Nothobranchius furzeri: one gene and its partners. The protein of the gene in region 1 interacts with the protein of each later gene in a biochemical or structural test. Links are inferred from orthologs where the notes say so. Each region holds a gene or a part of one and is shown on either strand. Other genes may lie near its edges.

The links.
Region 2: the proteins of mafga (region 1) and nfe2 form a complex in vitro, tested with the Homo sapiens proteins (2 studies listed by BioGRID and IntAct, with this or other methods). The link is inferred for Nothobranchius furzeri from reciprocal best matches to the Homo sapiens genes MAFG and NFE2.
Region 3: the proteins of mafga (region 1) and nfe2l1b form a complex in vitro, tested with the Homo sapiens proteins (2 studies listed by BioGRID and IntAct, with this or other methods). The link is inferred for Nothobranchius furzeri from reciprocal best matches to the Homo sapiens genes MAFG and NFE2L1.

What each region holds. Positions count from the first base shown.
Region 1 is NC_091752.1:59,016,529-59,020,555, reverse strand, and holds the start of mafga (v-maf avian musculoaponeurotic fibrosarcoma oncogene homolog Ga), read right to left. Parts: upstream 2,806-4,027; 5' UTR 2,367-2,805; intron 1-2,366. UniProt on the Homo sapiens protein: Since they lack a putative transactivation domain, the small Mafs behave as transcriptional repressors when they dimerize among themselves.
Region 2 is NC_091755.1:25,762,741-25,766,957, reverse strand, and holds the start of nfe2 (transcription factor NF-E2 45 kDa subunit), read right to left. Parts: upstream 2,801-4,217; 5' UTR 2,688-2,800; intron 936-2,687; exon of another isoform or gene 898-935; intron 807-897; 5' UTR 776-806; coding exon 728-775; intron 652-727; coding exon 514-651; intron 1-513. UniProt on the Homo sapiens protein: Component of the NF-E2 complex essential for regulating erythroid and megakaryocytic maturation and differentiation. Binds to the hypersensitive site 2 (HS2) of the beta-globin control region (LCR).
Region 3 is NC_091756.1:50,109,391-50,113,463, forward strand, and holds the start of nfe2l1b (endoplasmic reticulum membrane sensor NFE2L1b), read left to right. Parts: upstream 1-1,273; 5' UTR 1,274-1,496; coding exon 1,497-2,054; intron 2,055-2,792; coding exon 2,793-3,014; intron 3,015-3,892; coding exon 3,893-3,982; intron 3,983-4,058; coding exon 4,059-4,073.

The DNA of each region.
Region 1 (4,027 bases):
ACGAGAAAAGGTGACCGGACCCTGAGGAAGATTGTGGAGAAGGACAGATTCCAGACCTTGGGAGACCTGCAGAAGCAGTGGACTGAGTCTGGAGTAGAAACATCCAGAGCCACCGTGTACAGGCATGTGCAGGAAATGGGCTACAGGTGCCACATTCCCCAGGTCAAGCCACTTTTGAACCAGAAACAGTGGCAAAGCGCCTGACCTGGGCTACAGAGAAGCAGCACTGAATTGTTGCTCAGTGGTCCAAAGTACTTTTTTCAGATGAAAGCAAATTTTGCATGTCATTCGGAAATCACGGTGCCAGAGTATGGAGGAAGACTGGGCAGAGGGAAATGCCAAAATGCCTGAAGTCCAGTGTCAAGTACCCACAGTCAGTGATGGTCTGGGGTGCCATGTCAGCTGCTGGTGTTGGTCCACTGTGCTTTATCAAGGGCAGGGTCAATGCAGCTAGCTATCAGAAGATTTTGGAGCACTTCATGCTTCCATCTGCTGAAAAGCTTTATGGAGATGAAGATTTCATTTTTCAGCACAACCTGGCACCTGCTCACAGTGCCAAAACCACTGGTGAATGGTTAACTGACCATGGTATTACTGTGCTCAATTGGTCTGCCAACTCTCCTGACCTGAACCCCATAGAGATTCTGTAGGATATTGTGAAGAAAGTTGAGAGACTCAAGACCCAACACTCTGGATGAGCTTAAGGCCACTATCGAAGCATCCTGGGCCTCCATAACACCTCAGCAGTGCCACAGGCTGATTGCCTCCATGCCACGCCGCATTGAAGTAGTCATTTCTGCAAAAGGATTCCCGACCAAGTATTGAGTGCATAACTGAACATATTATCTGAAAGTTGACTTTTTTTGTATTAAAACACTTTTCTTTTATTGGTCGGATGAAATTTTTTAGATGCTAATATGCTAATTTTTTAGATAGGAATTTTGGGTTTTCATGAGCTGTATGCCAAAATCATCAATATTAGAAACAATAAAAGGCTTGAACTACTTCAGTTTTGTGCAATGAATCTAATATATATGAAAGTCTAATATTTATCAGTACATTACTGAAAATAATGAACTTCATCACAATATGCTAATTTTTTGAGAAGGACCTGTAGAATCTCCCAATGAGACACTGAAGGTTCTGTCAGCCACGTGCGACACAAACCAATCCAGCGCGACCCTGCAAACACCCACAAAGTCTTCCATCCTAGAAATCAGGAGAGACTGATCAACAGTATCGAATGCAGCCGATAGGTCCAACAATATCAAAATAAAGTCCCCAGAATCAGTTGCCAATAAATGTAATTAAAAACCCAGAGCATTGCAGATTCTGTACTGTGGACTGGCTTAAAACCAGACTGGAATTTTTCTAAATGTAATTTCCCATCAAATACTGGACTAATTCCACATCTGCGTTCTTTTTGTGCATATAAAGGGCCATCATCTTTACTTGTTAGCTGCAGAGAAAGACAGAGATGGGCAGTACGCTTTATCACAAAGCCAAGCTTCTGATGCAAATATCATAATGTCACACACAGGAAGACAAAAGCAGCTGTCAAGTCGATGACAAACTGTTAAATTGTCATTGTCATATGAAAGGAAGCACACTGTTCAGCAAAAACTGAAGGCATGTGAACTGCTTGTCAGGTCATGTGCTTGTTTTATTCTTTACATTCAGGAATTAGCCTATACATGACAAAATGTGACCATCCAGTCATCGCGTGAGTCAAATCATGGCAATTTTACAATCGTTGTTCTCGCGCGCACGCACGCACGCACACACACGCACACACACGCACACACACACGCACAATCAGTCGTGTCTGTTTATCGTGACAGCGCTGCAACAAAACACACATTCTCAGCTAAATGTTGATCATCCAATAGACATATGGGCATGGCGGTCTTGACAAAAGAACTATTTCGATCCATCCTCCATATTAACGGAGGGTTGGAGATGAGCATCGACCCTTATCAGGCGAGCAGACCTTTGTCCGGTGGTGCCATATTTCGGGGTGGGTTCTCAGAATGTCTAAATCCGTCACTGTGATGATGCAGCATGATAAAAAAAAAAATAATAATACATATCGCTTTTTGGGGGCTTTGAAATTCAACATCTCTCTCGGGCTCACCGGCTGTGACATCCCCCCCCCCCCCCCAAAAAAAAATATGTTTGACTACCATTGTCAGGTTTTAACTAAATGAAAAGTCACTTAGGTTAAAAGCAATTCAACATGAACTGGTCGAAAAGCTATTTTCAGGACGATCAAATCAAAGCATTCACATAAACGAAACAATGTTCGATTTTAACAATCCATGCATGTTCGTCTTGGATCAGAAGAAAGAACATCAGCAACAACCAACCTGGTCTTGTTAAGCCGCTGGCTCGACTCGCGGTGATGAAGCAGCCTGTTCGACCAACAGCAAGATGCTCATGAGTTGACAAGCCACCGAAAAAAAAGAAGAAATAAAAATAAGGCTGACAAAACAGACGGCAGCACACCGACGTCTCGCAGAAGCCGCCTGCAGAGGTTTACATGCTTGTTGACATTCCACGACTCAACCTCTCGGTGCCTGATACTTGTCAAAGTGGAAAACTCCACGCCTGCAAAAAACACCAAGTGAGGACATCCCCATGCTCTACCTGCCTACTGTAAACCGCGGCAACAAGCAATTCCTCGAAATAGGAAATCACCTCCGGGACGCGGGATGGTGATACCCACATCAAAAAAACTGTTTCTCAACGTTTTACACGCAGCTGCAGCAGCTCGCCTATACTTGGCTGTAGCTTGTAGCATGGGGCGGAGTGGCCAGAGGCACGACAGCACCATACCATATAAGGAAGTCACTTCTGCGTCACGGGTCCCCGGAAGAATGAAAACATGAATGCAAGTCAATGGGGCTAAAAACGCTGTTTTCTAATTCTGCTTGTTTTGTGCCATGGATTTCACTTATGATGTCCGGGAATTTTAAAGAGCAAGTCATCCCCAAATAAACATTTTTTTTTGCTGCTAAACTAAATAAATGAGTGTCTAATCGTGCTGCAGACACGTTTCGTCAATAATTTGGCACTTCAGTGCATCTTAGTTAAAATTTAAATATTCTGCCTAAAACTGGCAGTGTTGTGCCGTTGTCAGGTAAAAACTCTGCACTGTATTCTAATTTAAATCTGCCACTGCTATTGGCTAAGAAGTATGCTATGACGTAAACTGGTACATTATGATGTCACATTGCTGTCGTGAGCCTGAGTGCGTGTGTATTTGTTAGCGGCTTCGCCCTCTCGGTCTGCCAGGCAACAGTATGTGTTGCATTTTTCAAACATGAAGTGGGAGTGGAGTTAGACTCTGGTAGGGGTTGACTTGCTCTTTAAAGACACATTTTGATACCAAGAGCGTGCGTATTTAGTGTTATTAGTGTTACACTTGGTTATGACGTTCGGTTATGTTAAGTTTTGAGTTAAACTTTACAGTCTGGTATACTGACCTGCAGATATAGCAGAGTATCCTCCTTGCAGATATCACCTGGCCAGTAATGTCTGCCTTTACAACATGATGTGACATAGCAGATGAGTGCCATGTTAAAGACTGTATACTACAGAAAATATTTCCAGAGACTTATCTTCCAAACCTACCTCCATACCAGCTGAGGAATCAGCCGCTCCAGAGTTTTTTGCTTTGTTGGGACGACATTTATTTTGTGGGGGAGAGTGTGGGGAACCAGTTAATGTTAAAGGCTAGAGAACATGACCCCCATTTGAATATTTTGTGTAATTATTTTGTTTGTGCAATTGTACTGTTTATGTGAGGCTAAGTTTGGTCACAGTCCAGCTCAAGTTGTGTTAGGGCAGCAGTAGCTCAACAGGTTGAGCGGGTTGTCCAGTAATCGGAAGGTTGCAGAGGATTCTGCTGTTGTGTCCTTGGGCAAGACACTTAACCCACCTTGCCTGCTGGTGGTGGTCGGAGGGACTGGTGGCGCCTGTGCTCGGCATCCTTGCCTCTGTCAGTGCGCCCCAGGGCAGCTGTGGC
Region 2 (4,217 bases), on another chromosome or scaffold:
AATTATGAATGGAATAAATTGTCATTTATGGAGTGCATTTAGGAACAATTTTATTCTGTCACTTTCACGGACAAAAACTACTTAAAGCACACTGCAGTTTGCTTAAAAATCAGTCAAAATGCATAGAATCTATTAATCTGCATTATTGCGTTGGGGTAAATTTATGTTATTATGATTATTGCCATTATTATTTGCTTTAAAGTGATAGAATGCCTAAAATAAAGCATCTAGTTATCAAGAAAAAGCAAAAACTTATTTTTCTCATAATGTGTTTGTCTAAAATACATAATTTGTGCATTTGGCATGTAAATGTTCCATTTTGTTCATTACTTTTAAATATTACTTTAATATTTCTTATTTAACATCAATCAAAGAATGATTTACTCCCTATTTCGTATTACAAACATAATAAAGTTATCAGATTATATGAATTATATAACTTATTATTAACTCGTTGAATCTTTTGCTGAATAATAATAATAAATGAAACTTTAAGTTATTTATAGACTTTACCTGTAACTCTGTGATGGCCATTAGCTCCTGCCAAGCCACATCCATGTCTGAGTCCTGTGGAGCGCCATGTGGCCTGACTCCAGTTAAATTAGCGTGGATGGACACTCCTCCACACAGCCTGCCTGGAGCAGCTACCTCCTTATAGTTAGAAAAATAAACAAACAAGAAACACATTGTTGTTTGAGGCTTGATCTGACGTTCCTCGCAGACCTACCTCACAGGTTCTCCTCAAGGGGAGAACATAGTTGGCTGCTGAACACATTCAGGAGATGGATTTGCTTCAAAAACTCAACCTGGCGGAGACACAAAAGTCCTTGTCACTCAGCCCTGTTAAGTCAGAAACCTTCACGCACACGTCTCTGAGAAATGGCATGTTTTTTTTACTTGCTGGAGTTAAATGAGAGACAGTTTCGTAGCAGTGATGGCTTTTTGGAGCTGGTAAAAGGTTTACTTCAGTTGAATTGACTCCTCCCATCAGCTGTTCCAGGGTGCAGCTATGCCAAGCCCTGATAAGACAATCTGTGGGAAAACAGCGTGCTCTAAGAGACAAACTAAGGACAGATGACTGTTTGGGAAATTTAAGTGGGCTGTAATTTGTAGGTTTTTTAATTAAGCCAGTTAGAATCTAATGTTTTGCGTCCCCCCCATAAAATGCAGTTATCATAAATTTATGCAGATTGTGGTTTACTATGCAGATGAGCACAATCTGTCACATTTAGGGAATTTAAACTCAGAATGTTCCAGCGACATTTATCTACTGAGTCTCTTCAAACAGAACACAACTAACAGAAAACAAATGCAAAACTATTTTGTGAGTTGCACAATTTGCAAGAAAACTCACCTAAACTGAATACATAATCAACATTTCTAGAGCGTCAAACAAAAACCATATGGGTTTTTCGAAATATGGTAACATATTGCTAATAAAACCCGATTGCTTACATGTGTGCCATTTGTTCATTTATAAAAAACACACAAAATCCATCCATCCATTCATTGTCTGAACCCGCTTTGTCCACGGCCGTGTGTGGGTGTGTGGGTGTGGGTGTGTGTGTGTGTGTGTGTGTGTGTGGGGGGGGGGGGGGGGGGGTAGCTGGTGCCTATCTCCAGCGGTCAATGGGCAATCAGGTGGGGGGGTACACCCTGGACAGAGAGCCAGTCCATCGCAGGTCAACACAGAGACACACAGGACAAACAATCACACACACTCACACCTAAGGACAATTTAGACAGACCAATTAACCTAACAGTCATACTTTTGGACTGTGGGAGGAAGCCGGAGTACCCGGAGAGAACCCACGCATGCACAGGGAGAACACTCAAACTCCATGCAGAACGATCCCAGACCGGGACGCGAACCCAGGACCTTCTCGCTGCAAGGCTCCAACCATTGCACCACAGTGCAGCCCAAAAACCACACAAAATATTAAACCTATTTTCTTATGTTGTTTATGGCGTAAAACATAACTCCTACTTTTATTTGGTTTTATTAATAGAAAAATTTAATGATGCTTATTATTTAAATCTATTTTTGGATTATGTCTGAATATTAAATTACAGGGAATAAGATGACATGCATGTATTGTTTTGGCTAAAAATTAGATTCCACCTGTACAGGACCCATTTTGCATCTGCTAATTAGAGAAATGTGTTTATTTCTTTTTTAAAATTCTCATTATGGTTATATTGATTTTACTAAAACACACCAGTTATTTAATTTGTAACATGGATCATAATTTCTAAGGAACTAATAACACTGTCTCATGTCCTTGTTGTTTATTATTTTGTCAAATGTCTAAAACATGAAAATGTATTAATTACACATGTATTTTAAATTTGTATTATTTATGGCAGCTTTATGTAGGTTGTCAAATATTCAGCAGTGATTCTACTTCTACTCATCACCAGTAACATTAATCTGGTAAGGCTGAATGGTTTTATTGGGAACATTTTAATTTTGACCTGTAAAGAAAATCTCATGACATTTCACTGTTCATAAGTAATAGTAACTTGACATTTTATATTTTAAATGGATCAAACTCTACAGTCACATTATTGCATCAAGTGTCATGAGTTGCTTCAGTTTAAAAAATAAAAAATGATAAAGTTTCTGCATAAACTCACAGCTAGAAAGAAAAATATCATTAAAGTCAAAAATACCAAAGCAAACATACCTGAGCAGCATCTTCATCATCCTCATGAGAAAGAGAAAAGAGAGACGTGAAGCACAGTCCTGAGGCGAGAACAAGGAAAGCAGTGAGAGCTGTTGTCAGAGATCAGACGAGGTAAATGAGGCCTCTCAGGTCTCTTATTCATCTGTAGCTCTCTGTGTTAGCTTGCACACTCATCCACCAGAATAAATGGGATGGCTCTGTGCAGACAAACGTAACCTTCCTGTAAAGCACCCACACCAGCTCTTTTTTTCTCTTGTATCCTTAATAGAGAACGTTCACCCCAACCTCCAAATTTCCCTTTTGCCCTCACGACAAACCACAAACCAACAGTCTGGCACAAACCACAGCAACCATTGTGTCAGTCCACAATGAAGTAGGTCGGTGTTTACAAACCTGAAGCAAACTTAAGCAATTTTGACGCCTAACTTTGTAACATAAACCTAAATGGAGCGAATAAACCACCTAAAACCGGAGTGAAAACCAGCCACATGGTTGCCTCTGTCCGAAGTAAGAGAACAGTATCCCTCCAAATGAAAGGTATGAGTGGGATGTGGAGCACCTGGAGTCAGAGCCAGCATTGCAGCAGTGAGGGCCCTGTTGGAGGCAGGATTGAGACGTAGTTTAGCAGAGATGGAATGTACACCCTCCGACAGGTAAGAAAGACCACATTGTTCCTCTATCTGGCAGAGCAACCACCAAGTGAGACAGAGGAGCAGGGAGAAGAATGACAGGGAGCGTGTCTTACATAGTGACCATTAAAACCCCCCACAAAAAATCCCCTCGTCGCCCTGATCTGAAATAATGTGATGTTACCTCACAACAGCTGTGTGATCTGGTAAACTGGCCTGTTGTGCCACAGCTTTCAGAAAATAGGAGCATACTTATTTTAACCTCCTAGGGCCCTGTGTCCACTTATATGGACATTGGCTCCTTGTACTTTTTTATTCTCTTCTACTTAGACCCTTTTGTTATTATTTATAGACACTTTATATCGACTTTAATTTAAAAATATACTTTTGTGTTACAGTCAACTAATCTGTAATAGCTAGATATGTTTTTTTTTCTTTTAAGTCAAACCAAATACAAGTTTGGGTCCCAGGAGGTTAAGTTTGACAAATGAATGGGTATTAATTTGATTTGTAGCATAAGAGATAACTGGAACAGCTCGTCCCCAAAATATTAAACATGATTCATTCTTTTAAAGTTTAAAATGTGTTGAGAAACGATTGAATGAGTTTTAGCCATTTTGGTTGAATCTTGAACATATCTTTTTATGCAACCTCATGCAAAATCACAAGATTTCACACAATCAGTTACTATTCATGGTACGTGTTGTGACTCTCAGCTGCTGCCACATGAACATGTAAAATCTGTAAAACATGACGGAGGTATACTCATTTTGTGATTGCTTATGTTGCTTAGCCATGGTCACCATCCTGGACAGAAACTAAAAATCCACTCAGTGGTCTACGAGACATTTTGCTAACAGAAAAACAAGGGTCAGTCTCGTGCAGTTTAGTAATGATTAGA
Region 3 (4,073 bases), on another chromosome or scaffold:
GAGAGGAGGGGATTTTCCGTTGGCTGATGAAAGCTTAACACTAGAATGTTCTACGCATGCTCTGTGTGTGCGCGTGTTTTCGCTAGAGCTAGGGTAGGCTAACCGGCCCAGCTAGTAATTTTGCAAGTCATGGAGGGCCATTTAATGAGGAAAGGCTGGATAAAGCTTTAACAGCAACCTCAGTGGAACTGCTAATGAAACCAGGCTTGATGAAGGGTTTAAGATCATTATGAACGTGCGGCCATGAAGACACAGCTGCTAAGTTTGGCGTAAGTATGAATTAAGATGTTTTATTTAAATTATCGCGTGCGTTTATATATGGTCCCTAGTGTTTCATGGTAACACTCCCATCAGTGGGTATAATTAAAGTAGTATTTGTGGTTTAGTTGCTGGATACATTTTGTTGACCGTACAAGTTACTTTTAAAAGGAGCCGGATGGTTAAGTTAGATAGCAGCAAACTAGCTCGCAGGGCTAGCATAGTAGGGTTTGACTTGCATTTGATTGTGTCTCTAAATCCCGCCTGTGCTTGTTTCGTACTGGCGGAGACGGGCTGGAGTCATGTGACGTCGCTACCATTGAAGCCTGTAATTGGCTGAGCTATGTGTCGATCGTGTATTCACCACTTGTTGCTAGGGAGATTGTTTGATATCCTCGGGGGCGAAAGTAAATATTAGCAGGCGCACCTGTCACTTTTTGAGCTAAGCAGAGATGCGAGACTATAACTTAATGCTGCGGCCCGTCTCCTCATTGTTACTTCATGTTGATGAAGATGGTGTGTATACATATATATGTATAATTGTAGGCGGCTTGTAAACTATGAGGTAGCTAACAGCTATCGTGGTTAGGACAAAGATAGGCGCAGCTGTGCTTGAGGAGGGAGGGACCCAGCCTGCCGCCTATCAGCTATCTGTGGTGCGAGCCAGAGCCAGTCCAGCGAGCTTTCTCGACTCCCATTCACCTTCAGCAGCATCCACCAGAAGTAGTTGTCCTGTCAAGGGTGGGGTGATGCATTGCTCTGTTTTTATCATGTCTGCTCTGCGGAATATCCAAGAATGAAGAGGCACTACGTTGTTACTTCGTTTCTCCTGTCTTGGAACGATGAAGTGGTTTCAGTGGGCGAGCAAGTCCTGCTTTCTTTTTTCTTTAATTTACATGGTTTAATGTGAATGTAGGTAGCATCGAATCGCGAGTTTAAAGTAAAATGACTGTTCAGTGTGAGCTGATGTAGATTGTAACGTTTACATTCTTGTTTTCTTCTCAGAAACTGGAAAATGAGAACCTTATGAGGAACATACCCTGAGAAGTGGAACCTGATTTTGGATCTTAAACTCCTCTCAAACTTACTTTTGAAGACCCCTTTGCCCTCCTCAGTCACTTTTATGTTTGTATTTCTGTTTCCCTCTTTTAGTGTTAGCAAAGATTTATTGATCAAAGAAAGTTGGCCCAATTTTCATTTTTATCTTTTGCTTTTATTTTTTGTTCCGTTGTAAAGAAATGCTTTACCTGAAAAAGTACTTCACAGAGGGCCTGATTCAGTTCACCATCCTTCTGAGTCTCATTGGGGTGCGGGTGGACGTTGACAGCTATCTCAGCAATCAGTTGCCCCCATTAAGAGAGATCATCCTGGGGCCTAGCTCAGCCTACACCCAGACACAGTTTCACAACCTCCGCAACACGCTGGACGGTTATGGGATCCATCCAAAGAGTGTGGACCTGGACCATTTTTTCACTACCCGACGGCTGCTAAACGAGGTGCGCCAGCTGGATCGCCTCTCTGTGCCCAGTACTGAGCTCAACACCTGGCTGGTGCATCGTGACTCTGAGTCTGTAGTATCTGCCAGCAGTCAGTCCAGCTCCAGCATAACCCTGGACAATGGGGCCGGCTTAGAGGACATTAACAACATTGAAGTTACCCCGGCCATGAGGGGAGGAGGTGGAGCACCTGAATCTACATACAACTTGAATGCAGCCGACAGCGGCCTGGGAGCTGGGGCCCCAGAAGAAAACCAGGAGCAGGGCAACAGAAATGGCAACGACGACCTCACCAAAGAGGTACATCTTGATGTTTGTAGCTTCTCTCTGAAGAGCATTGGTAAGCTAGAAGGAAGGCAGTGGTATGTCTGTCACTGCAGGCCAAGCACACTTGTTATGACTGATTTAGAGAAATAAAAATATTTTATGTAAGTGACACCATTTAGAGTTGAAGTTCACTTCCAAGGTAAACAATAGCTTAAAATGTCACAAACCCTAAATGATCATAAATTGTTAATTCAGATGAAATCATTTATGGTCCACACCCCTGGTCTCTTTTGTTTTTTTTTCCTTCTATTGGTGTCAGATATTTTTAGTCAAACCAGTTGAGTCACATTCATCTCAGCTGGGCACATTTACTGTCCAAAAGGGTGGAACTTTAAAACGCTCAGCTCAAAGGTTGTTCAAATTAATGTTATTGCTGTTCACACACAAAATGGCCAAATGGACAGTTTGGTGTCACACAAAGTCACATGTTCATTTATTTTTGATCACATGATGACCACCATGCCAAAGTGTTTATATCATGGTGGCGTCATCTGATTTGTGTTTCGTGATCTGTTCCTATGAGATTATTTCAGCTCTGAGGAAAAATACAAAAGTACTCTATCTGAGCTTTCTCCTGACCAAAAATAAGTAACTCAGTTTGTTTGTAACAAAGATTTTGGACTTTATTCAAGAGTGATTTGGTTTTCCTAACAACATCTCTTTTCTTAAGTGTATAGGGTGGTTTTCTAGTCATTCTTGTGTCTTTTTCAGGACATTGACTTGATTGACATCCTATGGCGACAGGACATTGACCTTGGTGCAGGAAGAGAAGTGTTCAGCTACACCAACCGTCAGAAGGAGACCGAGGAAGAGAAGTCCAACCCTCAAGAGGACAAAGATGGAAAAGAGGAACAGGAGAGCTGGAGGAATGGCGTAAATTTACAGGGAGCTAAGCCGGTAGACGGGGAGACGGGAGAGAGCATACAAGAGCAGGTTTGTTGGGACTAAACACATCCTTATGGGCTCAAGAATTATTATAATGATGTGGAATTATTTCCAGTTAGTTAGTGGGTTTCAGTGGAAACATTTAGCTGAACATTTGTATCAAATGTGTATAGATAGCTTTTTTTATGATTGCATCAACCAAGGATTTATTTATTTTTCCCAAGAAAGAAAATACTCCTGAACTTACGAGATCCAAGCAAGTTTAAATTGTGTCTTTAGGTACATTTTTACTGCTTAAGTACCGCCCCCTACCAGGGCAGTTCCCTGGGGTAAATAGTGGAAATACAGAAAACTCCCCAGGTTTCCAAAGCGGTAACCTGCCTTCTCAGTTTGTTTCTATTTTGTGTTTGTCTATGAAAAAAGCCAAAGAGAAGGCATGATGCAGAGTTTAGCACTAATTTTTAAAGAATGTATGGCCGCATAGCTGAACATTATTTTTGAGTTGACTAAATGCTAGTCAGCTGTAGATGTACATCCAGTGATTGATTCACTTCTGTGCAGTGGTACATGAGACATCGTCCTGATGAACACACAGACAAAAGAATTATCAGCCACCTTTCAGCAGCAGGTGTCATTGTTTTCATCTCATCGTAAACCAGCCTGTTCTTCAGCTTAAAAAGACTCAAACACTGCCTCATGAAGCAATTTCAAAGACCTTCTTGCATAATAGTTTGAAATTTCATTCCTACACATGCATCCTTGTGATGCAGCTGATGATGCAGATTTAGAGTTTAGATGGTTGCTGAGACAAGTTCTTAATTTGTAAGGAAAAGCGAAAAGCACAAGAACAGGTTTTATTTTCATTTTTATTATTTGAGGTTCGTCGGGTACCCCTGTAGCATGTTGCGCGTTCTTTCTGTTGCCAGCTGCCAGGTCTTGGCTCACAGACTTCACTGTCACTACAGGAGTGCTTGAGACTGTTGGAGGCCACGTTCCCATTTGGAGAAGAAGCCGAGGTAAGATTGGAACGTCTGCAGATGTGTGCTTTGTAAGCGTTACTGTGGATTTAACCTTTTTGGTGTGTTTAATTAGTTCCCAGTTCCGGTT